Linked DNA regions of Mus musculus: all the other regions are reported to be linked to region 2. Evidence: microRNA targets listed by miRTarBase, many of them from high-throughput screens and not tested one by one. Region 2 holds a microRNA gene; each other region holds the end of a gene's coding sequence. Distances are between the middles of the regions.

What was found. The annotated mature microRNA mmu-miR-15a-5p reads UAGCAGCACAUAAUGGUUUGUG and lies in region 2 at 2,625-2,646, shown strand. An mRNA with a match to its seed (bases 2 to 7 or 8) in the 3' UTR can be bound and repressed. Matches are read on the target gene's strand: a 7mer-m8 pairs with bases 2 to 8, a 7mer-A1 pairs with bases 2 to 7 and ends in A, and an 8mer does both.
Region 1: miRTarBase lists Git2 as a target of mmu-miR-15a-5p. Seed matches in the 3' UTR shown: 7mer-m8 at 3,682-3,688.
Region 3: miRTarBase lists Lonrf3 as a target of mmu-miR-15a-5p. Seed matches in the 3' UTR shown: 8mer at 4,197-4,204.
Region 4: the mRNA of Senp2 is a reported target of mmu-miR-15a-5p. The part of its 3' UTR that is shown has no 7-base or 8-base seed match.
Region 5: miRTarBase lists Serinc1 as a target of mmu-miR-15a-5p. The part of its 3' UTR that is shown has no 7-base or 8-base seed match.
Region 6: the mRNA of Reep4 is a reported target of mmu-miR-15a-5p. Seed matches in the 3' UTR shown: 7mer-A1 at 707-713.

The regions. Positions count from the first base shown.
Region 1 is chr5:114,725,724-114,730,798 of GRCm38, forward strand. Git2 (GIT ArfGAP 2) reads right to left here. Exons shown (of 20, transcript NM_001347400.1): 20 at 1,688-4,671. The coding sequence ends at 4,459. Among named protein-coding and RNA genes, the nearest start is that of Mir7028, 8.7 kb to the left of the region's middle.
Region 2 is chr14:61,629,646-61,634,720 of GRCm38, reverse strand. Mir15a (microRNA 15a) reads left to right here and starts at 2,611; the gene lies at 2,611-2,694. It overlaps Dleu2 (deleted in lymphocytic leukemia, 2), which reads left to right. Exons shown (of 7, transcript NR_028264.1): 4 at 2,238-2,284. Mir16-1 (microRNA 16-1) reads left to right here and starts at 2,749; the gene lies at 2,749-2,841.
Region 3 is chrX:36,361,337-36,366,411 of GRCm38, forward strand. It overlaps Lonrf3 (LON peptidase N-terminal domain and ring finger 3), which reads left to right. Exons shown (of 11, transcript NM_028894.1): 11 at 428-5,075. The coding sequence ends at 583. LOC115489189 (a small nuclear RNA gene) reads left to right here and starts at 2,563; the gene lies at 2,563-2,666.
Region 4 is chr16:22,046,253-22,051,321 of GRCm38, reverse strand. It overlaps Senp2 (SUMO/sentrin specific peptidase 2), which reads right to left. Exons shown (of 17, transcript NM_029457.3): 17 at 2,053-4,689. The coding sequence ends at 4,627. Among named protein-coding and RNA genes, the nearest start is that of Senp2, 39 kb to the right of the region's middle.
Region 5 is chr10:57,512,958-57,518,032 of GRCm38, reverse strand. It overlaps Serinc1 (serine incorporator 1), which reads left to right. Exons shown (of 9, transcript NM_019760.3): 9 at 741-2,259. The coding sequence ends at 876. Hsf2 (heat shock factor 2) reads right to left here. Exons shown (of 12, transcript NM_008297.3): 12 at 4,890-5,075. Among named protein-coding and RNA genes, the nearest start is that of Serinc1, 17 kb to the left of the region's middle.
Region 6 is chr14:70,547,840-70,552,914 of GRCm38, forward strand. It overlaps Reep4 (receptor accessory protein 4), which reads left to right. Exons shown (of 8, transcript NM_180588.2): 6 at 101-236; 7 at 346-500; 8 at 591-1,096. The coding sequence ends at 656. Among named protein-coding and RNA genes, the nearest start is that of Hr, 3.9 kb to the right of the region's middle.

The sequences.
Region 1 (5,075 bases), not on the chromosome of region 2:
CAGTGCACTCGTGGGGTTAGAGGGTAATTCACAGAAGTTGATTTTCTCTACCAAGTGGGACCTGGGAGTCAAACTCAGGTTGTCAGGCCGCGAGGCAAGCACCTTTACTGGCTAAGGTATCTCCCCGGTACTCCCAAGAAGTCACCCACCGAAAGAACAGAGCAACGCCTGACACAGCCAACTGCAGCTGGAATTACGATGGCTAACCGAGAGCTGGGGAAGTGCTGTGTGGTGCATGGACCTCACAGAGTCTGCCTGCAGCAGCACAATGCCTTCTGGCATGGTATTGATCTGCAGTGGCGGCAGCGGCGGTGGTGGCAACAGCTCTAGCGCCCACATCATGCAGTCAGATCAGGGTGTGTGTGGGATAGGCTCAGCAGCTCTGCAGGCGGTCTTGGGAACCTGGCTCAGGAGCACTCTGGGTGTGAGCTGTTGGCTCCAACCTGAGGGTTGTAGGCCCTCTCTCCTGGCAAGCTGGGCCACACAGGGTATATGTAACACTTCATCTTGCTCAGACTTCACTTGGAGAGGCCCAGGAATGGTTCTTTTGTCTCCTCCTCCTTTCATCTGAAGTACCAAGTCACTTCTCAAAACATGCTGGTGGGGCTAAGGTTGGCCCCACTGTGGGCCTAGTTTTATCACCCGACTGCCTGTTGGGAAGGAGGGCGCATGTGCGGGGCCAGCCTGGGCCGACCTAAAAATGACTGGGGTAAGCTTACCGGGTTAGATGGATACATGGGTGAAGAGCTGGGCATGGTGGCACATGCTTGTAATCCCAGTGTTCAGGAAGCAGAGGCAGGGGGATGACAGCTCAAGGTGCGCCTAAGCTACATGAGACCCTGCCTCAAATACAAAACAAAACAGGCTACAGAGAACATAGGAAGGAGACTGAGCCAAGACCATGTCTCCTTAAACCATGTCTCCTTACAGATCAGCCACATGGGAGCTTGCCCCCACTGTTGCAGAAAGTATTTAATCTTGGTCTGAGGTTTCTACCCTGACTTTGTTGTTTAGGTTCCTGGATGAAAGACACAAACAACCCTCATATTCACCATAACCTTAAACAGTATGAAAGTCAGGCCGTTGTCTACCCATCTATGCTGTTAGGATCTATTTCCTACTGACAACCCCAAGTTATTACTATATTTCATCTGGGCTGTTATTTTTGTTTGTTTGTTTTCGAGACAGGGTTTCTCTGTGTAGCCCTGGCTGTCCTGGAACTCACTCTATAGACCAGGCTGGCCTCCAACTCAGAAATCTACCTGCCCCTGCCTCTCAAGTGCTGGGGTCAAAGGCATGCGCCACCACTGCCCGGCTATCTGGGCTGCTCTTAACTCCAATTGGCCAGCCCACGGAGCCATTTTTTTTTCCTCCTAACCCATGGCTGCTCTCATTCCCCCTCCTGCTGCCTTCTTTTCCTCATGGTCCTCCTCCAACCCCAAGCCCTCGAAACCCAAACTTCACCTATGTCTCTTCTGCCCCGTTATTGGAATCTCTATTTTCCAATCAGAGTTAACATGGGGACAGGGTCACCTAATGTCTTCAGTGGGGACTCTCTTGTCTCTGGGACAACCAGGTTTTGGGAGCCCGCACTTAGCTTTACAATAGATAACAAAAGACCAAATCTCAACCCCCCAGCCCACCTAGTCTGGAAATATCCACCAACTAGAGGGGGCACATGACCACACACTTAAAGAGACGATTTATTGCATAACCAGTGGGGCACAGATTCCAGAAGGATTTTACAGGCAGGGACAGTAACTTCAGGATGCTGAGAAGCCACCAGAGGAGGAGGAGCGAGGGGGCTTAACACCAGGTATGCAATGCTCTTTTCTCTATGCTGCACTTTGCTTTGTAAGAGCGTGGGTGATAGCCAGCTAGGACAAAGAAGGAAAGGAAACTGCACTGCGAGCCCACCGAAGCTGTGGAGGATGAAAACACGCGGCTTTCAGGCTGCATTCCATGATGGAAGTCACTGAGGTCAGGGCAGAGCCCCTGCGCTGTGCCGTTAAGAGTCCCGAGTGCACGCAACACTGGACTTCGTCTTTGGCAAGTAAAGACCGTGGTGCTGAGGCCACAGTGCCTTCCGGGAACGGAGCTTGAGGCAGGGCCTGCTCCATTAATTGTGTCTTCATCCTCTCCATCTTAGAAAGTGGGGTACACAGGTGGGAAGGCAGAATCCCAGAGAGGGGAGAGAGCAGCCAGATTGGATGCAGAGCTCACTCCTGCGAGGCGATGAGACCCACGTGCAAAAAACCCAAAAACGGCCAGGGCGAGCTTTGAGACAAAACGCATTTGCCCACAGGAACAGTATGCTCTAACCCCAGCCAGGTCTCAGGAGGGACTGTGTGGGGCCCCTCCTGCTGTCTCCTCAGGCCTCCACACAGGGCCTTCAGCCTGAGGAGGACATGGGACTGACTGGTGTTCTTGAGAGCGTCTGGAAATGCTGTACTGGCCCCGTGTTCTTTGATTTCTCAAGGACAGCATTCTTCTTCGTGACTTAACGGGACTGCACCACTCCACCTCTAACAGTTCTCTTCCCGGAAGCTTCCAACAGAGGCCTGCTCTCTCTGGGGATGGTGGGAACCAGCTCAGGCTGGAACCAGCTCCAGGGAGCCTGCCAGGAAGAGCAGTCATCCTTGGAGCACGCAGAAAAGCTTGTCAGAGAGGATGCCTGAGCTCACACTGGCCGGCCCCTTTCTAAAAGGCCCTGCTGGACATCCTCCAGCACTTAGGCTTGTGTGTATCGATGAGTGGGCAGGCCCCTGGAGCGCTGAGCCTTTCCTCCGAGCTGTGAGCCTCACGTTGAGGTGATGCTGTCTCCAGGATGCATTGGCCATGTTGTAAGAGGGACTATGAGGCAGGCTCAGCATACTGAGGTCACCTCACTTTGGTCGTTCTATGGGAGACTGATGCTGCCTTCCAGGGCTGGCTGACAGGTTCACTCATGTGCAGGTTACAGACCCCAGCGGAGGCTGAGATGGGCAGCCTGTTCAGTGGGCATGTCTGGATTGACTGTCCACATTTCTGATTAGAAAAATGTCATGAAGCCTGGCGGTGGTGGCGTACGCCTTTAATCCCAGCACTCAGGAGGCAGAGGCAGGTGGATTTCTGAGTTCCAGGACAGCCTGGTCTACAAAGTGAGTTCCACGACAGCCAGGGCTACACAGAGAAACCTTGTCTCGAAAAACCAAAAAAAAAAAAAAGAAAAGAAAAGAAAAGAAAAATGTCAAGAAATAACTCAAACTTCTGGTTCCTTGAAAAACCAAAGCACTGGCAGCCACAGGCTACTTTTCTACAGCTGCATGAGGGGTATGAGTGGGACAAGCTGCTGTCCTCACAGGCTGGGTGGGGTCCCTAGCCGCCCTTGGCTGTCTGTGCACCTGGCTGGCAACATAGCCACTGCCTGCTCCCTCAGGTCAGGGCCAGAGCTCCACCCAGGCAGAAGCGATCGACAAAGTGCCTTCAGCACAGCGAGCGCCAGTGCTGCGGTGGCCTGGGTGTCAACCTCTGCCCTTGGGGAGCTGTGGGGGAGCTGCCACCAGCTAGGGCACACGGGGAACTCTTCGTGCAGCGCCACAGGAGTTCTAATCATGAACTACCCGTGAGGGGATGGGGACACGGAGGCCCTGCGTCTTACCTGGGAAGACATCCTTCCAGAGGAGCCGTGTGGAGGATGTCAGCAGCACGGCCTGTGAAACTGACTCAGGGTTCTAAGTAAACTGTCTGGCTTGGCGGGGAAGCAGGCCCCTGACAGTGGGCGGTGCTCCTGCTCTGAATGTGGCCGACTGGAAGCTGATGTAAAGGGTGGATTTCTAACTACTTTTTTGGACATTATGGAGACATCAGCATGATGGTAAAATCTTTATAGATAGAAAATCAAGATAAAAATATTAAATAAGACAACACTTAACATGATACAAGAGTTAGAAATGGATCCGCTCCTTGTCACTCCCAAGAGATGCGCTCTCTCTAGGAAGTGGGAAGCTCTGCTCCTCGTGCACATGGAGAGACCCCACAGGATGGAAGGGAAGCTTCCTGATTGACTGCACGATGCTTGGAAGGGACGGATGCTGCTGCTGCTGCTGGGGTTTTTGTTTTTGTTTTTAAATCCAACTTTCTTATCTCTTAAGAAAATGTTTTACTAAAAATATCAATTATAGCTTTAGGCATGGGTAGAGATTGTAAAGGACAGGAAAGTTGTAACACACTTGGAACAATGACTTTTGAACACATGGGGTCATGACCTAAGCACTTGGTGACAATCTGACAGGACAGAACTAAGTTGCAAATAGGCACAAATAAGGCAAGGGTTAAATTACAGTCAAAAATCTGTTAGAAAACATGCAAAAAATAATACTGAGCTTTCTTTTAAAAAGTCTGAAATCATCATTAAATGTTTTGTAAAAATCTGAAGAGTTCGTGTATAGTCTATGGGCAGGCAGACAGCACCCGAGCTCAGCTGCTGTTCTCTTTGGTGGTGATTGTGACCAGCTGTTTGGCGGCCTTGGCGATGTCATAGGCACACTGGATGACCTGCTGTGTGACCAGCTGCACATCTGTGGGTAAGCTGGAGTCTCCTGGGAGAGCCTTTCTGCACTCCGACTGGAGCCGGTAGGCACTGGACGTGAGTAGGCGGAGGGAAGTCCTCACCGTGTCAGACTTGGGTTTCTGAAATGAAAGCAGAGCCGTCTGCTGGGGGCTGCAGGGTGTGGAGGCAGCAACATGGAGTGAGCCAGTTCCCAAGAGCAACCTGAGCTGCCCCAGAAAGTCTGATTGCTTTCAGCTGGGTATTTTATTGTTTTTTTTTTTCGAGACAGGGTTTCTCTGTGTAGCCCCGGCTATCTTGGAACTCGCTCTGTAGATCAGGTTAGCCTCTTGCCTCGGCTTCCCAAGGCATGCCCCATTACCACCCAGCTAGTTGGCATTTTAAACATTATCAGCTTTGCAACTCGTGGCCTACGAAGAGAAGCTTAGGTGCTATATCCTAAACTCCATTGCGTTGCCTTGCAGTGCCTGACTTAAATATTGATGTCTTATTAAACCCATGTTCCTGCACAGTGAAAACATCTCAA
Region 2 (5,075 bases):
TTTTTAAAGTATGAGTGTTCTGCCTTCGTGTATGTCTGCAGTGCGTGCTGGAGGAAGTGCTTAGGCTCCATGTGGGTGCTGGGAACTGAACCTGGGTCTTTTACAGCAACAAAATGCTCTTAACCACTGAGTAACTCTGCAGCCTTGCAACTTGAATTTCAAAAATTTCCATGTAAAAAATGAGCAAATTGAAATACATATTCAGTTGTCAGTGATCACCATACCTGACTTGGCCTAAACAATCAGTTTAGTTTTCCTTTCATAGCCATTAAATAAAATTTGGGTATGTTGTTGTTGTTGTTGTTGTTGTTGTTGTTGTTGTTGTTGTTGTTAGAACAATTTCTTTTTCAAATATGTTACATAAGCTCATTTTCCTAGAAAAAAATCACATGGAAATGGAATTTTTAACTATTTAGTAGTATGCCCTACAAATGATTCTGTCACTTTTCACATATCAAATTTTAGAACTAGGAATTTAAAATGTTTAGAGAAGAAACAGTTCCAAAGATTTTATAGTGGCATTATTGCCACATCAAAGATATTAACATACCCAGCTTTTAACTTCCCAAATTTGTTGCAGTATTTCATGCCTTTAGCTTTGCTATTTAAGTAGATTTTTTGTGCCCTGAGAATTGTTGCTCTGTCATCAGAACTTAAACCTGGTAGTGTTTTCTCCATGTTCTTAGACAACTTCATAAGATGGCTATGGTTCAGAAGCGTCCTACAAAGGCTTATATGTATGTTAATGGTTCATTTGCAGATAGGGAACCAGAAAGGGTCAGTGTACTAGAATAACAGCCATGGGAGACACTCAAAGGACAGTGTCAGGGTTCGGACCTCAGATTCTGTATTCTGTCATTGTGCTCCAACAAATTACTGGTTGCTTATTATTAAATTCAAAAAGTATCCCATTATTCTGATGCAGTCAAGATGATGATATAGCTTGGGCAACATGCCTATAAATGTTTGTGAAGTGCTAAGCTTTATGGAAACAAGATGAATTAATATTAGAAGTTTTATAAGGTAAAAAGTAAATGTTTCTAAAGAAAAATATTAATGGAAACAAATAGAGTTGAAGGGGGAAATAGGACAATTTGGTTTGATCTATCTTCTTAAATTGTTGTAAAATTCTGTTTTCTTATACGAATAATATTAATTTCAGGTATTTAAAGATTGCCATGTATTCCTATGTACACTCAAGTTACCTTCTTAAGCAAAACATTTTGTTTTCTTTTCAGAATGGCTTTTTTTTCCTTTTAAGAACATTAGTAAAAAGTTGAACTATGTAAAAACCCAACAAAGAAAAATTATTTTGGTCCTTAGGCCAGAATATAAACCACTGAATTTGGAACGGGGCATGATGGTGCACGCCTTTAATCCTAGCATGCAGGAGGGAAACCAGGCAGATAGATCTCTGAGTTCCAGTCCAGCCTGGTCTATAGAATGAATTGCAGGACAGCAGCCACTGTCCTCAAAACCTCTCTCAAAAAACCACTGAATTTGAAATTATAATCATTGTATAAAGATAAAGGACAAAATCACTTTTAGCAGCTTTTATCTTTATTTTCAGACTTTTTTTTTTTAAGCTGGCACACTTGAAAGCAAAGGTTTGAAGATTTAAAGACGTTTTGATATTTCAAATGACCCAACATGAACGGGAATGGAGAAATGGCATTGACCCACTAGAAAACATTTGCTACACAGTAATCTAGTTTGAATGGAAAATCTGGTATGAACTGGAATAATAAGAACAGTTCTTTGTGAAGGGATGGCTAAGTCCCCCACTAAACAGAAAAGAGTCTTCTTAATAGTGTAAGAAAACCTAGATATTCACACACACATAAAATGAAGTTGGAACTTAACGTAGTAAAAATTTTGTTTCAGCTAAGTCAAAGTCCTGTGGTATAAAATGATACTCCTTTAAAGGACTAGCCTTTTTAACTGGGAAACACACAAATGGTTACTTAGGCTTGAGCTACAGGATTTCTGATATATCCTTTTAGGAAACCAAATAGACCTGTTATCCTAAGATGATGTTCTGGGTAATAATAAATGACACTGAACTCACAATAACTATTCCAATATTGAGATAAATCTTGTGTTCATGTGTAGATTGGGGGTTATATATTTTTGGGGAATATGTTTCATGTGTATGTCTTCTAAATATTTTGCTAGTATAAATTTCTTGAAACTGAGCTCTTACATGTTTGTTCTTACATGTTTCCTTTAACATGAAGCTTTGTCCTATGGATTTGGCTTTGAAAGATGTGCTGCTCTTAATAAGGTAAAAACCAACTTTTGTAGCTATTTCATGTGTTAAGCACATTCAAAAGTTGTTAGTTTAATAAATGAGGTTCTTAAGTTGGTATGGGAAAATGACTTGCTTTTCTCGTTTCATGACTACAATAAATTACAGCACTGTATTAAGTTTTCTGTACGCTTTTATTAAACTTATGATATGGAAATACTTTTTATTCTGCTGAAAGCCTATAAAATTATGCACATACCAGTGTTAGATTTTTTTCAAACATAGATTTTATGTGTTCTACTTTTTCCTAAAAAGCCTTTTCTGTAAATTACTATTGAGGTGCTAGGAGTTTTCAAAACCAACCCTTGGAGTAAAGTAGCAGCACATAATGGTTTGTGGATGTTGAAAAGGTGCAGGCCATACTGTGCTGCCTCAAAATACAAGGACCTGATCTTCTGAAGAGAGTACCTGTCTTTTTATTCATAGCTCCTATGATAGCAATGTCAGCGGTGCCTTAGCAGCACGTAAATATTGGCGTTAAGATTCTGAAATTACCTCCAGTATTGACTGTGCTGCTGAAGTAAGGTTGGCAATACTCTACAACTGTAATTCAATGTGTATTGATGTTACTTGTGTGTTTACACGGTTTTTCTAATTGCATTAGTGATTTTATGTTTGGTATGATTCTGTAATGATGTTAGTAACAACGCTCTACATATTGTGTCTGTTAAAATACTATATAATTGTGGGATGGTAATGCAGCTCAGTTGGCCAAGTGCTTCTTGCTAGCATGCACAAGGCCATGGGTTTTAGCCTTACCACTGCATACCAGGTACACTTGTAATCCTAGATCTGAGGAAGTGGAAAAAAGAGAATTAGAGGCTTAACATCATCCTTGGCCATAAAGCAAGTCTAAGACCTATGTAAGGATCTGTCTTTTAAAAACAAACAAAACATAATGACTTCTGTGTGAGGAACTGATTATAGGACTTCTAGATACCCAGATTTGTAAATGCTTGGATCTCCTGTATAAAATGTCTGCTCGTGACCAGTGCATATCCTCCCTTATACTTATTTAAACTTATCTCTACATTGTTTTTAATGTGTAGTGCAGTGGGATGTTAACATGGATAGTTGTATTATTCAAGTTATTCTCTTAATGATGAGAAAAAAACTGTACAATTCAGTACTAATGCAGTTTTTGTCCAAGAAATAAGTTTTTTGGTTTGGTCTTTTGAGCCTGGGTCTCACCATGTAGACCAGGCTGCCATGAAACTCACTGAGATCCTCTTGCCTCCGCCTCCCAAATTCTTTGTTTAAAACTGTAGGCCCCAATGCCTGGCCACCCAAATGTTTTGAATGTGTGGTTGGTTGGATCCACAGATGGAGCACTGACTAATAATATAACAAGTATTTTTAAGTCTTGAACACCTTTCCAGAGTTTCTTGAGAGCTACAGTGGTACAGAATATACCCAGTACCACCAAGGCTCGAGCTCTCTTTCCAGCATTTCCATATAAAAGTTTATTTGAAAGAGTTTAGGAAGTACCAAATTGTACATGAATTTAAACTCATATTATTACTTATAATAGAAAAATACTTTTCTCTTGATTTGAAGTTTTCTTTAGATACAGATAAAGTTTGAAATGCTACAGATTATAACATAATCTTGAGTATAATGTGCCTAAATATTTCATTTTAAATGAAGGAGAATAACACTAAAATGTGTACGTTGAATTTTTAAACTTAAATTTAGAAGAATCCTTAGAATAGCTGACCTTTTTATTGGTTAACTGAGGAAACAATCTGAAATTTAATTTGCAACCTATGACATATTAGGGTATAAATCCTATATCTTCTAACTTAATAATTACTGTTTTTCTTATTTTTCACTAAAATGTTTAACAGGAGATTTTTATAAGTCAAAAGTATGAAAGACATCTCATCTGTGCCTTAATATTTAACTTCAGATTAAAGCTAACAGTCATTAATTTTATAAATATATTCAGAATATTTTAATTATTTCAAAGGAAATGTTCTTTTTTTTTTTTTTTTTTTTTAAAGATTTATTTATTGATTATATGTAAGTACACTGTAGCTGTCTTCAGACATTCTAGAAGAGGGAGTCAGATCTCGTTACGGATGGTTGTGAGCCACCATGTGGTTGCTGGGAATTGAACTCCGGACCTTCGGAAGAGCAGTCGGGTGCTCTTACCCACTGAGCCATCTCACCAGCCCGGAAATGTTCTTTTAACTATCCCATGTGCTTTATTTTAAATGTTTTACGTCATTATTTTAAAATGTTCAAGAAAACACATTATCTCACAATAATGTCCTCTAACTCTGTCATTACTTTTTACAAGGAGTCTCTTACCTTTTCAGATTAAAGGTTCATAATTAATTCTACCGTGTGTTGTGGAGATCCTAAAAGTATTTCAGTTATTTTTTAAGGAATTGTCCTCAAAAGAACCACTACTCAATTCTAATTTAAAGGTAAAATTAAGTAAGTTTTAACAAGTTGATTTAATTAACTATAGACTCCGTTTTTGGAGCATTTTTTCTGTGTATGAGTACACTGTAGCTATATTGATGGTTGTGAGCCATCATGTGGTTGCTGGGAATTTTGAATTCAGGACCTCTGCTTGCTCCAATTGGCCCACTCACTCCAGCTCTGTAGCTGTCTTCAGACACACCAGAAGAGGGCATCAGATCTCATTACAGATGGTTGTGAGCCACCATGTGGTTGCTAGGATTTGAACTCAGGACATTTGGAAGATCAGTCAGTGCTCTTAGCCACTGAGCCATCTCTCCAGCCCCAAAATTTAAAG
Region 3 (5,075 bases), not on the chromosome of region 2:
TGGAAATCTGACACCCTTTTCTGACTTCTGTAGTGCACAGACAGACATGCATGCAGGCAAAACACCATACACATAAAATAATTAAAAACATTTAAAAGAAATTTTAAAAAATTGGAAGAAAGAGGAGGGAAGAGACTACATGTTCTTTTCCCATAAAATGATGGGAACTTAGATGTATCACCTCTCTTTGTTTTTAGCCAAAATTTGACCTTATGGCCTCACCTAGCTGCAAAGATGCCTGAGAAGTAACAGTTTTCCTCATCCCCTGCCACCATGTATGCTTAGCTGAAATAAAAGAGGAAAACAATGCCTCTCAGCAATGTGTGCCACACACAGAAGCAGTTCCATGTGTGATACTTTACTGTATGCATGTGGACTTCTATACATGGACTACATGGGATCCATGAACTGTGTTTCTCTGTTGCAGGTTAATCCGAATGGTCCAGCCTGGTGCTGGTGGACACTGGCGGTTCTTCCTCTGGAAAGCAGAGCTCAGCTTCCCTTCCTAGCAATGAGGTCCTTAAAGGACAGATTGAATGGTATTCGGCGTATCCTGGCCTTTATATCGAGAAACCAAAATTAAAGGGACTGGATTGTGGAAGAGGAATTTCTACCCTCTCCACTGCCCCGAGGCAATGTTCTTGTAAACATATCTAATTGCAATAACACCTTAACAGAAGAGAGTACCCTAGATAGATGTTGTTATTCTTTTTGACCACACAGAAATGAGGTAGAAAGACCAAAAGGATGTGACCTGTTTGACTTACTGTCTTCAAATGCTTCTTGAAACACTATACTAACACACAAATAGCAGAAGTGTGAAGAAGTCAAAAAGAGTTGATGTTTAGCATCAATTTTTCTGAAGTTAAAAAAGTGAGTTGTTGTTCATAGCTAAATGAGTGTGTGGTTGAAATGTCAAGCAGAGATACTAATGTTACTGCATTCTTTCACTGACTTGAGGTCTCATTTCAAATGGTTCAGGTTTTATAAAGCATTGTAAAAAATAATGTTCATACTTCTTTCTGTTTTAATAATTTATTTTTTGCACTACTGCGTCGTTTTTCTACATATATGTTTGTAACTATTTAAGTGTACATTACTGAAAAGTCCATTGCTTTATTTATTGATGTGGCTTACTCTGTAGGGAGGATAACAGTACTAACCATGTGCAATGTTCTTTCTTTACTCAGTTTTTGTTGAATTAATCCCAGTTCTTGTTGGGCTTTTATATATACATAGTTCAGGTCTATTCTAGTGGACTAAGTTTAAAAGAACTTCAGAAGAATTCTAAAGTAATTCATCTTCACAGATTCCACATTTTCAGTTTAATTTAAGGACTAGAAAAATGCTTAATTGATTTGGCATAAATTGTGGGATATACCAAAGTAAAGTAAAAGAATCCATTTTCCATGTGTAATACAGAATAAGGTTGAAAGACATATTCAAGATCAGAGAGATGAATTACAGGTGTCTTTTTATTACAGTCTACTACTATAGGTATTTATTTCAGGCAATCTAATTAGAAAAGTATTAATTTCTCCCCAGTGCAGTTAGGGAAGAGATTAATATTTACCTGTATTTTCAGAGGGGATGGCTTTCAATTTGGCGTGCCTCTCCCCTATCTTCTGAGTTCTGAAGTTTAAAACCTGTACCAATGTGTGCTGGAATACTTGAGAGACTGTTCTTAAAGTGTGAAGAAACTGGATAGGTTAGAACCCCTTTTAAATTACTATAAAAGATCCAGAGAATGAATCCATGGTTTTATGTAAACACTGCCTTCCCTCCTGGTAAAGATGGGCCAAAGATTTCAATGCAGGGGGAGAAAAGACAGTGAAGAGATGGGAGTAAGTTTCTGAGCTTAGTGCTAGTCTGAGTCCTTCGGTGTCAGAGAAACCTGAAAAATGGAGTGTGGGAGTGTTATAGTGGCAGAGGAGAAAATGAGAGTTAGGAAAAGTGAATTGTCAGATTTTGTTTCTCATGCAAACTACTCCCAGGTGATTTTGGACAACTATGGTGTGTTATTCACGTGTAGGCTCTCCATTCTGTTAACAAGAGAGGGGGTTCGAAGAAGGAGAGAGATTGCTTCAAGGATCAGTCTAGGTTCTTCTATAACCACCAGAAACATGGAAGAGGTGGGGCTTGTGTGTGTGAGAGAGATGGTCTCTAAATGCTATAAAAGAGACTCATGGAAGCAGAAAGCAACTTATCACTGACAACTTGCTTGATGGAGGCGGTGTTGTCAGAGCATTGCCAGGTCTGTTTGGAATAATCTGGGCTGGTGAAGAATGATGCAAGTGTAGGGAATGTAAATAAAGAAGTAGATACTATCCAAGTTAAGTCTAGAGGGCTCGGAAAGCAGGACATTAAGAGGATTTTTCCCTGGCACCTGATACCCAGCCAGCCATGTGATTATAGTGAAGTCCTAGTATGACTGCTTCCTATTCTATAGTGCAAACACAACAAAGAAGAGCAGAAGCTTCTCCACTTACGACATATGTTACTTTGGCAAGTAATTTAGCTTCCGTTGAGTCCCAGTTTTCTTATATATATGAAATGGTACTTGTGCTCACATCAGCAGTACATATACTAAAATTAGAATGAAACAGAGATTAGCATGGCCCCTTCACAAGGATTGTAGGCAAATTTGGATAGTGTTCTATATATTTTACTAAAAGATGAAATTGTAGTGATATTAATAGTATATAGGCTTGCTAGGAACATTAAACGGGACATGTAAGAAATTACTTAACAGTACCTTGATGTTGGGAGCTATTTGGTGAACTATAACTATTATCAGCCATGTTGCAGAATATCATCAGTGGTCTACAGTTGCATGAAGCATTGCTTTTACTTGTAATTCTCATTTGTACCCTACTGTAAATCCAAACCACTGATTCTTGGACCACAACTTGATAGTTTGCAAGTGACTCCTATTGGAGTTAAGGCCAGCAAAGTAGAGCTGGGGATACATCTCAGTTGCTGACATGGCATGGGGCGCTGATTCTCTCTCCAGTTCTGTAAAAAATAAAATAAATGTAGGGAAAATTAAAATACTGGAGAGAAAATGAGGGTTAGTTGTAGGGACTAATTTCTATGCCAAGAAAACTGTTCCCATTTTAATTAGGGCTAAAAAATAGTGTCGTATTGGGGGACATCTAGAGTTCTTGATAAAATGGGAGCCTTAAGTTCTGGTTCCATAAGAATAACCAAAACCATCTCTCCCTCTTTTTCATATATTGAGAATCTCAACTAGAACAATTAGATTTCAGAACAATTAGATTTCACCATCTATGGAGTTTGCACACAGCCAATAGTATTTCTTTCTGCTGCCCCAAATAACAGGCTCTACAATGATGTACTGAAAACCTACCATGTACCAGGTACTAAACTGAGTGAGTGATCTCGATCTCCCTTACCTGAACACATGAAATAACCTTTTAAACAGCATCATTAGATATATAGATAAGAAAACATAGGTAAGAAAACAGAATGGACAATTTTAAAGAATATGCCTATGTAACATGTTCAGTGAGTGGCCAAGCTTGATTCTGTACCAACAATGTGACAGATGTTTGAACATTTTGTGTTATGTATGTTTCACTCAGTAGGCATGGCAAAACCCCTAAGAGCTCAAAATGAGGAGTTCCAGGTGAAGTCAAATGAAGCCGTCCAACACATCTCTTACTAATCCAGGGGGAAAGTGGATTTTTGGCTTCTTGATACAATTCCTTTGATAAGAGAATACCCAAGAACAGATGGAGATCTTTGCTAGGCTAAATAGCACTTTCCTCTGAGCCTGGATCTAGATTGGGTTGTTCTCCAGCAATTATAGTAACGGCAGGATACTAGGCTTTGACTTTCTTTGGGATGTACATAAGTGGGCTAATCCATCGAACTTGACCACTTTTAACACCTGTGGATAGGTTCTGTTTCTAAGCTCAGACATGAGACGTACAGAGATAAAAACTATATCTGAGTTGGAAGGATAAGAGTCCTCCTTGTAGACAGTGCCACTTTATTGGGTTAGTCTTTCTTTCTATCTTGAATTCATGACTGACCCAGACCTTGTAGATTATTCTCTCTCTCTCTCTTGTCTGTGTGTGTGTGTGTGTGTGTGTGTGTTCATGTGTGCACACACACAAAGAGACCCTAGGTAGCAAGCAGACTTTATGCCTTTCTGCTTTGTACCGTACTATTGCTGCTAGCTAAAAACCAGCAAAATGTAGAAAGTGAAAACTGAAGAAACTACTTTGCAGTGGATAATTTTAAGAAAAAAAAAAGATGCTTGCTCCTCATTTAGGGGAGCAGAGAACTATTCCAATAGCATGCCTTTTCTGAAGGCCACGTGCTTCGAGTTCCGTGCTGCCTCAGTAGCGGGATTGAGTTGTGATGGCGCACGTGGCACTGCCACCTCTGCCTGTGGAGCTGCCCTGGGTTCAGATAATCCCCTGTGAGTAGCCACAGAAGCCTCAGAACTCCTATGGCTGGGTCACTGCACCCCTGTCAACAAGTTGTGTCCTGTTGATAGACTGCGACCCCCTGGAGCCTGCATTCCCTGTGCCAACTCCATTTTCAGCATGTGAATTTTAGCCATAGATTCATCCCTGAGTTCCCAGCTTGTGGACTGTGTGTCCGTTTCAACTCCTCAAGGTAGAAATGGGCAGGCTGCAAGCCCATTCTTGGGTCTAGGGAATGAGGTTTAGATTCTGGATAGAAGACAGCTCTGAAAAGCATATGCTTGGCTTTCTGGCATTTCTAATGTTCAGCGGGCAGGAATGCAAAGGAGCCATGCACAGTGTACACATTCAATTCCTTTTAGAACGATAGGTCCCATTCAGTCTACTGCTTTACTACTTAATAGTCTGGATTGTGCACATCCAGTGATGAAATGAAGAACTTTTCACTTACAAGTGGGTGTTTCCAAACATGTTAAAATAACCTCCAGAGAGAAGTGCCTGGAACCACTGTTCCTGGTGTCACTTTAAAGCTTTTTGCTTCATGACTCTAGCATTTAAAACCTGTTTGCAGCCACAAATGTGATTAACAGAAGTTTACAAAGCAACACTGTACCTTAT
Region 4 (5,069 bases), not on the chromosome of region 2:
TGAGGCAGGACAACTGTTGTAGACTTGAGGACAGTATCAACTTTACAGTGAGTTAGTTCCAGGCTAGCCTGGATTATAGAGACCTTTCTCAATACAAAATAAAAACAAAAGACACAATTTATTAACATAAAACCTTCATGTTCACGAGCCTACAAGGGATGGTGGAATGTGGTGCCCAGCTGCCAGAAAGCACAGATTGGAACCAAGCTATTTATATGTTGTAAAGTTATAATAAAGTGTTTCTTACTGTTTGTAAAACAACAAAAAAAAACAACCTTCATGTTGGCTATGCCTCTCCAGGCAGAAAAGACACACTCCACATATTCACTGAGCCAGATTCTGTTTTCTAAATTGGATGTGTGTGTTGGTATGCATACAGAGGTCAGAGAACAACTTTTAGAAGTTGGTGCTCTCTGTCCCCCTTCAAGTTCTGGTTTCCCATTGGGCCATCCTGTCAATCTCAGATTTCCTGTCTTATCACCTATGTAGACAAGTAACTGGACTTCTACTGGACACATTTAGGAAAGGCCAATGTATAAACCAGAGTGATTAATCCACAGATTTCCATCAAGTATCTGGAAGCTCTGGCCTATTTGCCTAGGTTTAGAAGGATCATCTTCAAACTGTTTGTGCCTCTTTCTCCCTCCTTCCCTGTCTTTAAACCCCCTGTCTTTCATTTTACTTTCAGGTCATTAAGACCAGTGTTTTCAACTATGGCTGAGGGTTTAGTTCAGTGATGGAATACTTGCCCAAAATACCAAAGTCCCTGGATTGGAACCTCTGCACTGAGAAATGAAACAGATGATTTAGAGCTGGACAGACCTCTATTGACTCAAGGCCAGTCTCACCTTTTTATTTTTAATTACATATGTACATGGTTTTGTACATGAGAGTGCAGGTGCCCAAGAAGGCCAGAAGAGAGAGCTGGCACTAGAAGTGCTCTTAACCACTGAGTCACCTCTCCAGCTGACCCACTCTTGTGTATTTGTCCTGAGTGTCTATATATCATGTGGGTGTGTCCAGAGTCCAAAAGACAGCATCGCATTGGGTTCCCTGTGAACTGCAGTGTGGATGCTGGGATTCAAACTTATGGACCTCAATAAAAACAGAAAGTGCTTTTAACTGCTGAGCCATCTCTCCAGCCTGAAAAAGCAAACGTTTATTTCACAAAATAATGATATATATCCATGTTGTGTATTGGGCATAGGATAAAATATATTAATGAGTTCCAATTTAAAAATCTAAAAACTACTTAAGAGGTTAATTTATTGGTAAGTAGATAAAATTAGTATTCCAACACACCCCAAATAATTTGTGTATATTAAAACAGTTAAGAGCTAGAGAAATTACCCAAGGAGCTAAAGGGAACTGCAACCCTATAGGTGGAAAAACAATATGAACTAACCAGTACCCGGGAGCTCTTGTCTTTAGCTGCATATGTATCAAAAGATGGCCTAGTCGGCCATCACTGCAAAAAGAGGCCCAATGGACTTGCAAACTTTATATGCCCCAGTACAGGGGAACGACAGGGCCAAAAAGGGGGAGTGGGTGGGTAGGGGGTTGGGGGGGTGGGTAGGGGGTTGGGGGGGTGGGTATGGGGGACCTTTGGGATAGCATTGAAAATGTAAACGAGGAAAATACCTAATTAAAAAAAAAAACAGTTAAGTCAGCAAGCCAGATGTATCTCCAACTTACAAATAAGTTCTAAAAACTTACTTGACAGAGATTTTCTCAAAATTAGTTCACAAGGCCATTTAAATAATGTGGGTTGACTATGGCACTTTAAATTGTGTATTTGGGGTTTACTGTATCCCGGGAAGACTCCCTATACCCACACAAGATCCGAGCATCACGTACATCCCCTTGGTGAAGGTGAATACCCAGCATCCCCCGGCAGCCCCCAGGTGTTCAGGACTTCAAAGAGAGGGAGCAGGGGTTCTAACAGCCTTCATCGGCCTGGACAGACCATGTAATCTTCAGGGATGGCCATCAGATGGCTTTCTCCCGACCCAGCTCCAACACAAGGCAAAGCACAAGCATAAAGCACTCGGCTGCAGAAAGAGATGTCACCAGCAGTGTGTATTTCTTAAACTTTTACTCATTTTTAGAGACTATGGGCTAAACAGAACAATGCAACATTTCTTTCAGGTTCCAAAATTGAAATTTCACAAAAACATTACCGGCTTTAATTTTGCCGACTCACTAGTTACACCAAGTGCTGTTTCTCACTTATCTGTATTCTTCTCATAAGCTCAATGTAACAGTTCTGTTACCCGTGCGCACACAGGTGACAGAGAGCTGGGGCTTCTGGTACCTTAGCTTGGATTCAGACACTCAGGTAAAGCAGTGCCACCATAGCTTAACATTCTGTACTTTTGCATTTTCCATCTTCTATAAGAACTTACTGTGTGTGCACAGGAATGTGGTGGATGCGCTTATGAGCAGACATGGGAGAGGGAAGTTGTTCTCCATCACTCTTCCTGCTCCTCCCAGGAAGGATCTACCGACCCTGCCTCTCCCCACTGGGAACTGGGATTACAGATGTGAGCAGGGATCCAGCTTGTTACAGACACACCTGGCTGAGACTAAAAGTCAATCCTGGCCTCACCACCCAACCATCTGTCTCTCCAGGTTCCTGTTCTAAGCACACCCGGGTGGCGAGCTTGAGGACACCTTCAAATGCCACATTAGCTATAGCATCACTCACCTGGGGAGAGAAAGTCGCCATCCAAGCAGGACTGAGCCAACAGAAACAAACCTATCCAAGGCCCTTAAAATTCCTTTAATTTTTTTTTACTTATTACTAATTTGGTCCATCTGTTGGTTTGTGCAAGTATGGAGGTCTGAGGACAATTTTGGGGAGTCAGTTTTCGCCCTCCAGTGTGGGCACTGGGGATCAAACTCTGGTCAGGTAGCTATTTTGTTTGATAGGCCGGGATCATAAATTCTCAGGTAGAATTCTAGCACCCAGGTTTTAGTAGTGTAGACAGGATCAACTTCTGGGCTCTTTTGGTTAGACCAGCTGCCTGATCCCGGCATCACTGGCACAGTGCTTGGGGGGGGGGGGGGTCTAGGCTAAATAAAGGAAGGGGTCCCTGTGTAGTCTGCCTTGAGGAGGTTACAACACCGTTTACCCCTGAATTGTTAGACCACATGCTCGCTTTCAGGTTTAGGCCACCTGGTCTCGGGTTGGCTCAGCCATTTCAGTCCCCATCACAGGCCCAGCTTCCATAACGAAGGTCATTTCAAGTCTCAGAGCAAACAGGTTTCAACAGCTACAACCTCTGATCAGCTGCCCAGGCGTCCCAAGAGCAGACGTGTACGTTTGTATCTAACATGTGTGCAGCTTTTCTAATTTTATCTCTCTCTTTCTCTCTCTTTTTGTACCAGAACAACTTTGGAAGGTTGAGGCAGAGAAAAGAGGAAAAATTATCAGAATATACTCTAGGTTCTGCCAGTCTTTTATTACGTCATAAAAGCAACACTAGGCACTAGATCTTGCAAAATGTGCTCTGACCAACTTTCTGAAATTGACAATGCATAACCACACCTGTAAGATTTTTAATGAACAAAAAAGTTAAATACAAACTTTCATATGCAAAATAGATGCCTGTAAACCTGGCAACCTCAGAGCCAAGTACTAATCTCTCTCCAAAGGCTCAGTGGGGCTGGAGTGGGGCATGCTGATGAGCCAAGAACTTAATTTCAGCTTTATATATATATATATTAAAAAAAAAAAAAACTCTGAGGAAAAATAGGCTTCCATTGAGGAGCATCTTCAGAGCAGACAGCTCAGGCCAGCCCTTCCCTGGTGAGGCTCACACACTCACTCACCAGACCTACGACTTAACATGGATGCTCACAGTTACTTTGAATCCAGTTTCAAGAGGAAGCCAAGCTACTTCGGTTCTAGAAAAGAAAGTCTCTAAGATGCGCACGCCCCGTTCTGAGGATGCACAGATCGAGTTCCTTGGCCACATTTCCACGAACTGTGCCCGTGTCATAGCATCAGACTCTCTAAAAGGCAGCCAGATCCTACAACAGAGCATCGTCATTTCTTCTGGCATTTTCAAGCCTTAAAAGAGAGAACCTTAACTGTATGTCGGCAGTTCGCACTCCAGCATTAGAGAAGCTAGCGAACACCTCCTTCCTCCCCCTGCTGATATCTCTCTGCAGCAGGAAGTGGCAGTTTGATTAACATTCTTTTCAGAAATAAATAGTCCAAATTATTTATAGCTAATTATAAAAGAGCAGTGGGAAAAGGGCACTGCCCAATGAGAGAGTGAATTCGTGTGAACACACAGAACAATTCATATAACAGATCCTGCATTTCCCACATTCATATGGAAATAACGCTTTAAAACAAAACACATTAATTAGCATTTGTTCTTGTATGGGGTGAATAGTCCAGGGCTCTGAGCAGGCACAGCCTTAGAAACAGGGTTTCAAGCAGCCCCTCCACACCTCTAGTCAGGGCCATTGTGGAGAGGCCTTCATGCACTCTTGAGAGCTCAGTACCTGTGAGAGAAGAGAAATGATCGGGGACTTTTTAACCCACAATGCATGAGGTATATGGAAACATCCATCAAAGAACCACCAGCAGCTAGAAGACCAGGCGGGGCATTGTCACAGCAACTGCTGGTGAAGGATCTCCCACACCATCTTCTTCCGGAAGAGAGGCATCTGGTGCTGAAAGGAACGACAGTGTTATACACTCTTGTGTGCAGCACGACAGCCTTTAGGTGTCATAAATACAACAATGCACATGTCCTCTACATAAGCTTCACCGTTTTACATCATGCACATGATTCTTTTTTTTTTTTTTTTTAAGATTTATTATTATATCTAAGTACACTGTAGCTGTCTTCAGATGCACCAGAAGAGGGCATCAGATCTCATTACAGATGGTTGTGAGCCACCATGTAGTTGCTGGGATTTGAATTCAGGACCTTTGGAAGAGCAGTCAGTGCTCTTAACCACTGAGCCATCTCTCCAGCCCCCATGCACATGATTCTAAAGCACAGTGGGATTTATTTCTAGTCAAGGCGGCCTTCTTGAATTCCTATCTT
Region 5 (5,075 bases), not on the chromosome of region 2:
AAAGAAAATCAACACAAGGTTGATATTCACCTGTATGGTTGGACAGGTTATACATGTCTTTAAATATTATAGAACCAGCAGAGATGGAGAAAAAAATCATCCTTTTCTGATGTATTTTCTGCTAGTATTTACTCATTTTTATTATGAAAGAGTATTATCAGAAATTTATAACTTACTTACTATATATCAAATATTGAAAATTTAGATCTAAGCCAGGCAGTGGTGGAGCATACCTTTAATCCCAGCACTTGGGAGGCAGAAGCAGCCTGAATCTATAGTGTGAATTCCAGGAAAGCCAGGACTACACAGAGAAATCTGTGTGTTAAAAAAACAAAAGCAAAAATAAATATGAGGGTTTGTGTGTGTGTACAAAAGTCAGCTGACTTTAGGATCTAGTTCCTTCCCCATCTGTCAAATCTTAGAAGGGGAGGGTGGTGAGGTAGAGAAGGGAGGCCCATCAACATTGCAACCATGTACAGAATAGTCAGATGAGACTTTACTCAATCCTCATCTATTCCTATTTAATAACATGTACAGATTGCATACCTTGCTTCGAACTATGTGAAAGATCTGCTGCAGCAGTATGGAGGGTATGGCAGGACCATCATGATTCCAGGAGCTACTGCACATTATCACAAACTCCATACAAAGGAAGCTTAAATGAAGGGGCCTAGTAGCTTGATAGCTTAGTAACACAAGCCATTAACCTACAATCACTTTGACTTTTCCTCATATTGTAGGTATGAGCCTTCTCGTGAGATGAAAAGTCAGTGGACAGCAGTCTGGGTGAAAATCTCTTCCAGTTGGATTGGCCTTGTGCTGTACGTGTGGACACTAGTGGCACCACTTGTTCTTACAAATCGGGATTTTGACTGAATGGGATGTCTGGCATGAGTCCCACTTTGGCCATTGTCTATTTGACAGTAACAGTATTCCCAATTTTTGTAAAGTTGTATGTGCTGTTGTGTAAGTGTAACACTGTTTTTCTCTTGCATGAAATAGATTTACTCTGCCAATTTTATCCATGTTCTTGCTAAGTCTATTGATGATATGAATTGGAAAGGGAGAATTTTGAATATGGTGAGAAATTGGGAAAAATGGACATTGATAGGCATATCATCTGCTTTGTGTACATATGGTATTAAAACTGAAAACAAATATTCTTGACATTTGGGTTTCAAAATTGTGTTAGCACTTATTTTAGAAACATTAATTAAGTGTATGGCTGCCTTTGAAATACTTGATGTGTTGTTGTTGCCTTACAGAGGACTACAAGTATAAAGCAAATAGCTGTTTTAAAATTATGTAAATAAGTCACAGGCTAGTTATTTGAAAACTCTAAGTCACTTTAATTTTGTCAGAATCTTCTCTTACTAGGTAGGCCCAGGATGTTCCATAGTTAGTGGAAAACAGTACAGGAGGTGGAGGGAAGCTAAGCAATAGACAGGAGCCGTCACAGGAAGTCACTGGCAATACGGGTTTAAAGCAGGTACTTAGATCACGGTTTTCTCTGTAAGAAAATATGGCCGTCACCCCCGCCCACCAAAAAAAAATGATTTGCTCTTTGTGAACACACAATTATGAATTTCATGGCGATGTTAACAATTCTGCATTTAGACAAGGTTTTGCAAAAGATATTGTGTTAGAAAAATTTGAAACTAAAAGCTTCCCAAACAAAATGGGAAACCTTACAGGACATAAAACATTAGGCTCGGGTTAGGCACTAAGATAAAGTCTAGTCCAGTTCTCATTTTAAAAGTCAACTAGCTCTAAAGCTAGTTAGTGACAAAGTTGGATACCAAAAATAGCCAACACTATGACATAAAAACTTTGTGTTCAAAATGTACAATTCACTTTATACATTATTAATAGTAGATAAATTTGTGTAAAATGTATCGCTGCTGTCCAGCATGCTTTTCTTCTTTTTATCCAAACATGAGGCCAGGAGGATAATTAACTTGAGGAATAGACAACTTACATTCACTACATATTTAATCATGCTTAAAATGTTTGTATTTACTGCCATGCAATTGATATAGTAAATCGACTAGAAAATTAGTATGCCACTTAATTAAGATAAAAATGCTTAGTTATTTATGTTAGTATCTAGCTTTTAAAGAACTACATGTGTCTTTAAAAGTATTTATTGTGCAAATGTACTATAGCAGTTCATCTTCATGTTCCAGCCTTACTCTGTGTTAATACTGCTTCACAATTCTGAATGGCTGTGTTCTCTTAAATAAATGCATTCAAAGAAAACGTGTGGTGGTAGCATTACAAATGTAGGTGGCTTTCTTCCTTCCACAGGCCTTTTTTTCCAAAGGTTGTGGCCAGCATTTTTCTCTGGCCAACAATTTGTCTCAGGATTTCTATTGCTGTGATAAAAGTGACCATAAGTCATTGGGAAAGAAAGGTTTATTTCTTCTTACAGTTTGAAGTCCACCATCCAGGGAAGTTAGGGCAGGAACCAATGCAGGGCCTCGGAGGAGTGCTGCTTGTTGGCTTGATGCCTATGACTTGGCCTGCTTATTTTTATAGAGCATTCCAGAACCACAGGCTCAGGGAGTAGGAGGGATGAAAACTACCTCAATTGGCTGGGCTCTCCATCAAGGTGATGTAAGAAACTGGTCATCAGCTTGCCTACTAGCCAGTGTAATTGGAACATTTCCTCAGTTGAGACCTTCTATTCCCAAATGACTCTAGCCTATTTGATAAGATCTTCCTATCCATGAATCACTACATTAACTTTTGATCTCCACAATAGATCACAAGAAGACGTAAGTTTATTTTGGCTCGTAAGTCTGAAGGTTCCAGTACACAATTAAGTGTCCTTATTTCTTTGGAGTGTCAAAGTATCATACCAGTGAGGATCCATAGCAGAGCAAGATTCTGGACTCTCACAATTTACTAGGATTATATAATCTTCAATGGTCTGCCCACACCCATTCCCACCTTCTAAAGTTTCCTGGGAACATGCTGTCTGTCCACATGGGAACATTTGACATCCAGTTCTAGCAGTTGCCAAACTTTGGTATATTTTACTTGTAAATTCTTTATAGAGTTTCTAGAGTGTATAAGCAAGCAATCTCTGTGTGAGAGAGAGAGGCCAGAGAAGGACATTGGAGTTAGTACCTGGAGCTAGTGAACTGCCTGATGAGAACTGAACTCTGGTTTGTAGCCATTACAACTGCTTCTAGCAGCCAAACCTAGACAGTGGATGTCTTGGGTGAATGATTACACATGGGGTGTAAGCTAAGTAGTAAGGAAATAGCTAACTCAAATCCTGGGTTAGTGAAAAGTCATGACATGGGAAATGGCTTGTCTGTAAAATACTACTACTCGTAGCTTGCTTTTACAAACCAAACTTTAACCCGTGACCAACTTAATAATAGACTTTGAGAACATTTAGAACCATACACTCATTCTGATCACTTTAACCAAGCCAGTTTAAGATTAATCTTACTATGCTTTGGTACCCACGGATATGTACCACGTTCCCAATTCTCCCTTTGTGGCCCATTCATCCCTTGAATCAGCATATAATACATGTATATAGGATATGGTGGCTAGACCAAAGATTATTTGCTGGAAGCAACTAGAGATGAAAGCAACACTTAATTATGTGCGGGGGTTTTTTTTTTTCTTCTTCACAAATACATATTTTGTGGAATAAACATTTTCCTCAGAGATCAAAATATTGCATCCTATAGTAGGAAGCTCTTAAGTAGGAAGGAAAACTCAAAATAGCTTCAGGAAGTTCCTGAAACTGACCAGATTCACTAGGCCTGTTCCTGCTAGAGTGAGTACCCAATTAAAAGGGAGTCAAGCTTCGAAGACTATCAGATGAGATAAGCCCCAGCTGCCTGGAAGAAGTAGAAACCTGCTGATTTAATAGGTTTAAATTAACTTGGAGTCACTTGCAAAGAACACTCACTCTCCACCTTATATCTCACATTCTATACTTGCTGGGCTGTTCAATAGTAATGATCTTTATACAGGAGGAAAGATCTGAACTCTTCTCAACAAATCAGGCCCAGACTTGGATTGATGGCACCCAGGGTTACTTTATACATGTCTGTACTTTTCTGATATTTTCGTTTCAGAAAAAGTAAACAAGACCTGATGAATAGAATTTTAATACAGAATTATGAAAGACTTAAAATACTTAATATTTACTATAACAAAATTTATATTGTTTGTGATAGCAAAATCAAAACTGATGCTCAAGAGCCATTATTAAACTTTGAATCTTGTTTATCCCAGTAAAAGAAGTATTTGTGGAAAAAAAACAAACCTTTGTTAAACAACTCAGATAATTCTTTTACCAGTGAGCACTAAAAGCTTTAACAGACCAACCTAAAAAGCTCATAATCAAGATGATTAGTCTAAAGTATGCAGGAGGGATGGGTGGCTCTCCTATAAGCTGATTTTGAAAGCCAAGTCAGTTCCTATTGTGAATGTAATTTTAGAAGGTGTGTACTTCTCCAGTCAAGGAAGGAAGCAAGCCAGTGAAGAAATACAGACTGGAGGACTGTGAGGAAGGTCAGAAAAGTCAGGAATGCTAGTCTTCATTTCTCCTGCAAACTTATTAGAACTCTTTTACCACTTAGAAAGAAAATTCTAATACCTGGAGCACAATATGGCCCAAAGAAGCATTCTGGAAATGCCTTATCGCATAATTGTACAATTTAGGTATTAACCACACTGCTTCTAGCCCTTTGCCAGAATAGAGACTTGTCCAAGTTTTAAAGTACCCTGGCCTTAAAGCCTCTCCAGTTCTTGAAAGGGACAACTTGATTTGATTCTCTTGTCCTATATTGCAGTAGAAAACGTTGGCATTTGGTGGCATCCAGTGGTAATGTTCTCATCTTATTTGCAACAATGAGAAGGAATTTTTCTCTTGGTTCTTTATTAGAAACATAGAAAGCAAGCCAGTATACTTTTTAAACAAAGAACATTAAAACACATTAAGGTCAGAAGCATCATATTCCTCCCATACTGCAATACACAGTCTCCCCCCGCCCCTCCCAGGTAAAGCACAAAGACCCTGATGTGACTCACAGTGTGATAATGGA
Region 6 (5,075 bases), 8.9 Mb from region 2:
GTGCCCCAGAGATTAGCTGAAGGGCAGCTTCCCCGTTACAGCCCTTCCCCTCGCAGCCCTCCTCTGGAGTTAACAGCGGCTCCCATCCCTCACCTCCTAGAGTCAAGGCGCTCTAGCTGGAAGGCTGCGGAGTTTCTCTATGCAAGACCTGCGCTCTATCCCTGACACCCCTGTCCCCACCTACCAAGATCCCCTCTACCTGGAAGACCAGGTACCCCGACGTAGACCCCCTATTGGTAAGTGGAAAGAGGGGGAGCTGACCTCTCTGAGGACTAGAGGCAAGCTGGGCGTGACCCTAGGCTTGTATAAGTGCTCAGCTTTGCCCTGCGGGCCTCTCTTTGGCAGGATACCGGCCAGGCGGCCTGCAGGGCAGTGACACAGAGGATGAGTGTTGGTCAGACAATGAGATCGTCCCCCAGCCACCTGTTCGGCCCCGAGAGAAGCCTCTAGGCCGCAGCCAGAGCCTTCGGGTGGTCAAGAGGAAGCCATTGACTCGAGAGGTAAGTGTGTTGGAAGGACGGCATGAGGGGGGTGTGGATGGAGCTGCAGTGCCCACACCACTCAAGGTATACTGGCTTTCTCTTCCCAAGGGCACCTCACGCTCCCTGAAGGTCCGAACCCGGAAAAAGGCCATGCCCTCAGACATGGACAGCTAGAGTCTGCAGATTGAGGCCACCTTACCTCTGGAGCCAGCAGGGGACCTTTCGCTGCTACACCAGCTACCGGGGTTCTGCTCCGTCTGGCTTGTGCCTAAATGGCACATGGCGTGGTACCCTGCACAGGGAGACATTCACTATACCAAAGCAGCCCAGGCCTGGGGCCTATTTATTGCCTTCCTCTGCCTTTTACTTTCTCAGACACGGGACCAGAGCCCCACCAGTCCCTACCGACGAAACCAAAAGTCCAACCAGCTGTGTTCATTCCTTCTTGTCCTTCAAAATACTTGACAGCCTTTTCCAAGGCCTGGTGTGTGTGTGTGTGTGTGTGTGTGTGTGTGTTTACGTACACTAGCTGCATGTTTCGTGTTGGTGAGTGAGGTCAGGCTTATGAATATTTTTATATAAATAAATACCAAACAGTGTTTGGCCTCTCCTAATTTGTCTCTTCACATCTCATATTGTAGCTAACAACTCACTGCAGGCTCTGGCAAAGGGTGTAGAGACTGCTGGAAGATCTCTGTGCCCCATCCCAGCAGCAGTATTCTTACAGTTGCTCCTAGGGATCCTTGTGGAGTTAGGGTAGAGCCTGGTGTATTGGCACAAGCCTTTGATTCCAACATGGTTGAGGGGGAGAGGGCAGGAGGATTTCTGTGAGTCCAGCATGGTTTACATAGCCAGTTCCAGATCAGCTAGGACTAGAGAGACCCTGTCTCAAAAAACAAAAAACAAAGAGTCAGACTGATCTTGAAGGGTCAGTCGGGAATCAGTACTTACAGGAAGAGGCAAAGAGATGGGGAGCCTATAGAAACTGTACAGAGCAAACCTGAGGAGGCAGGCTAGGTCTTCCATGAACCTAGAGGAGCCACAGTTCAGTGAACTCTTCCTGTAGACATTCAGATACGATTAGGGTGAATTTGCACTCTAAGCCACAAGAGGGCAGCAGCTGCCTAGGGCCAGGCTGCCCCCACCTTCCAGGTCAAAGTGGGCGGGGCTCAGAGACGAGCCAACGCCTCACCCTGCTGGGGCCTGGATGCTGATGGGGCAGGCCAAAGGAATGATGATAGCCAATGATAGCCCTTGTCTGATGCTTGCCTTCTCCATCCATAGAGACCCAGGCGCTTGCCCTGGGTTGACTTTAATCCATCTCCTTTGATCCCTGGGTCATCTGCCCCTAAAGTAGGAGGCACGTTGTACCCAGGGTCCTCCCTCCTCCCACCCCATCTGTCCTTCCTTCCCACTTCGGAGTCAAGAGTGCTGGTTGGAGGAAAACTATGAGCTGCTAAATTGGAGTGTCCTGTGAGGATTAACTCTTGGTGTAGGGATTATCTGGGTTTTATTGGAGGGGAAGGCACTTAATCTGTGTGGCTGATTTAGCCTGGCATGGACTGGGGTTCAGTGGCTTTTCTCTATGGCATCCCCTCTGTATGTGATGCTGACTCTTACTGCCTCATTACTTCACCCAAAAGATGTGTTGCTAGGAACTGTAGGGGTGAGGAGACAAGGAAGTAGCCGCTATTACTATGATCCCCATTTCCCAAACAGGCACACAAAGGGCAAATGATTTGCCCAAGGTGGACTAGCTAGTAAGTGGCAGGATTGGGCTTTGGACCAGGCAGTCTGGCTCCAGAGTTGATGTTCTTAATCACTATTCAGTAAATGGGCTGTTCCTTGCCTGGGGGCAGGGGCAGGGAGAAGGAGTCTGGCATGTGTGGGATATTTGTTGCTCGCCTGACCTTGTGCTGAGCATTTCAGAGCTGGTTTCTTTGAATCTTCGCAAAGGGCCTGTTGTCCATCTTACAGGTGAAACGGCTTTCTCCTCTATAGAGGTGCTGCCCGAGAGGTGGGCAAAGTCACTTGGTCCTCCTGGGAGGACTGCTGAAGCCACTGTGCCCTGGCTCTGCAGAGCCCACCTCTGCCCTCCCCCGGCCTGCTTTGTTCTCCTACTCCAACTCATACACCTGTCTCAGAACCCTCTGCGCGCATGCCTCTGCCTTGCCTAGCCACTCACGGAGAGACTTCAGCCTTATTTTTACTGTTGTATCCCAGACTACATGGTTGAACCAAGGTGTGATATTTTTATAACTGTGTGATTTGTTGGTGAAATCCTGCTTAGTGTCTAACTTCTGCACTGAAACGTCACCCCTTCCTCTGAGAAGCCTCTCTCACTCCCCAGCATAGGATTAGAAGTCGTGGAGTCACTTGTCACCACGGTCATATCTCTAACTGTGGCTCCCAGCCTCAGCTCAAGGCCTGACACCCATCCGAAGCCTGAAAGAGGATTGTGACTAAACCAACACATACATCAAACATCTTAAACCTCTTCAGGGTGGGAGTGAACTTTTGCTTTGGTGGCTGTGCCGTGTCACCTTAGTTCCACCACACAGCTTTCAAAACACCAGTGTCTCTGGTATGGCTTGGTGAATGGCTGGGTAAAATCACATGGTTACTAAGCATCCTGAGGCCACAGAAAAACAAATGTGTAGAAGGTCCAGGTGGTAGGCATTTCTGGGCAAGCATAAATGTGAGCCAAGACTTGGGGCACTGGGTAGCAACCTGGACATCCCTCAGAACAGCTCTGAGAACTACCCAAACACACCTTCACCCAACACTATCCTCCCCTGGAAAAGAGCCCTGGACCACCACTGATGCTCTGGCCTGGCCTCTTAAAGGGAGGGCATCTGGTCTTGTTCCTACTTTCCAAGGACCACCAACTTTCTACTTGAGACCAGTGTGCCTGGTCTCCTCCCCAGATAGGATCAAGGTTGGAAAAGGACCTGACACCAGAGACCAGTCCCTAGCACATACCTTCTGTGAGTTCTGGTCCCACCCCCACTCCTCAGCTTTTCCTACTCTTCCTGGCCTGTTACCATGACAGCCGGGACTTCCTCTCACAGTCCTTTCTCTCTCCACTTCACCTCTTGCCATCCTTTTTTAACCCTCTGCCTCTGACTCCATCACTGTCCCTCTGACCTGTGGCCCTTCATTAGCCTGGTCACTTTCCCCTTCTCTGGATTCTGTCACAGCACACAGGATCCTGTGGCTTTATTTTTAGCTGCCACTCCCAGCAGCATCCTAAGCCTCTGGGTCCCACACATGCAGCCCTAGCCCAGGCTGAGTTAGGGGTCCTGGCAGGCACTGGAGGAGCTCCAGGGGGTAACTGTTCAGGTTCACATCCCCATTTCTCACCCAGCATCTGAGATTGGTGCCCACTAACAAGCGACCTTCACCGCTGGTTCCTAGGGTTGGGGGATCCTGGGGGCAGAGCTGGCATCGTTGCACACACAGGTCCCAAGTTCAGCCTGGAACACAACGCAGGCTAGATGGCAGTGGGGGAGGGCTAGAGAGAGGAAGGGCTCCAGAAGAGGAATTAGGTCAAGGATGTGGGTGGGTGGGCGAGCGAGCAGAAAGGACAGCATCTACCCCAAGCTTCCTCCTGGCTCCCGCAGCATCTCCACACTTCCCTTCCCTGTCCCCTCCCCCTGGTCCTGGGAGATTTCTTCGCCCTGTATCCCCCTTCCCCATGCCCCCCCACCCCAAGCATGGCCACAGGGGTGGGGGTGGGGTAGGGGGAGGCCAGCTTCAGCTGTCTGAAGGATGGAGGGGCTGGGGAAGCAGGGCTAGGTGCCCAGACGGCCGCGTGTGTGGGAGGGGATGTCCTCAGATGCCCTCCACCCGGCAGTCCCCGCTCTGACGTGGGTGCCCCCCCTCTCCCCGCCCGGATTAGTGGCAGCTTGGCCTGACTCTCCGGGGCTCCTTCCCCCGCCCTGCCTGCTGCCCACCCCTGGGCAGGGGGCTACTCTGCCTGAGGGGTACTGTGCTTGCCCAGGTAAGGGTCTCTGGGGTGGAGAAAGGGCAGCCGGCTGTCAGAGAGTCTGTGCCTGTCAGCAACGAGTGTGTGTCAGCATGTGTGTCAGTTTGTGAGGGGTCGGGGTGGGTGAGGGCTGGGCCCATGTGAGTCTGGGGGTGCTAGTAAGTTTGCCAGGTCCATGATCTGGTCTTGTGACCACACACTGGGTGGCTTCCCCCCCCCCACGAGCGCCCTCCCCCGTGTTTGTGTCTTTTGTGTATGTCCTCAGCTCTGCTCCATCCTCAGGCACAGCACAGCCAGCTGCAAGGACTCTGGCCTGTGGCATAGGCTCTAAGGCAAGGATGGGGAACGTGGTGGAGTGAGGGCAGTACTTCTCCTCACCTTCATCTCCACTAACCCCTAAGCATTCCAGAAGACTGTCCTGAGAGCTCTGGTCTAGCCCAGGCAATATAATCTGACAGGCAGATATGGCGACTGGAGGTGCGGGGGTGGGTATCTGTTCAGCTCCCCTGACACAGTCCCTATCACCTTAGGGGAAGACAGCCACAAGCCCCCAGGACTCAGGACAGCCCCGGGTTCCACTCTGGCCACTACCAGGCCTCAAGCCA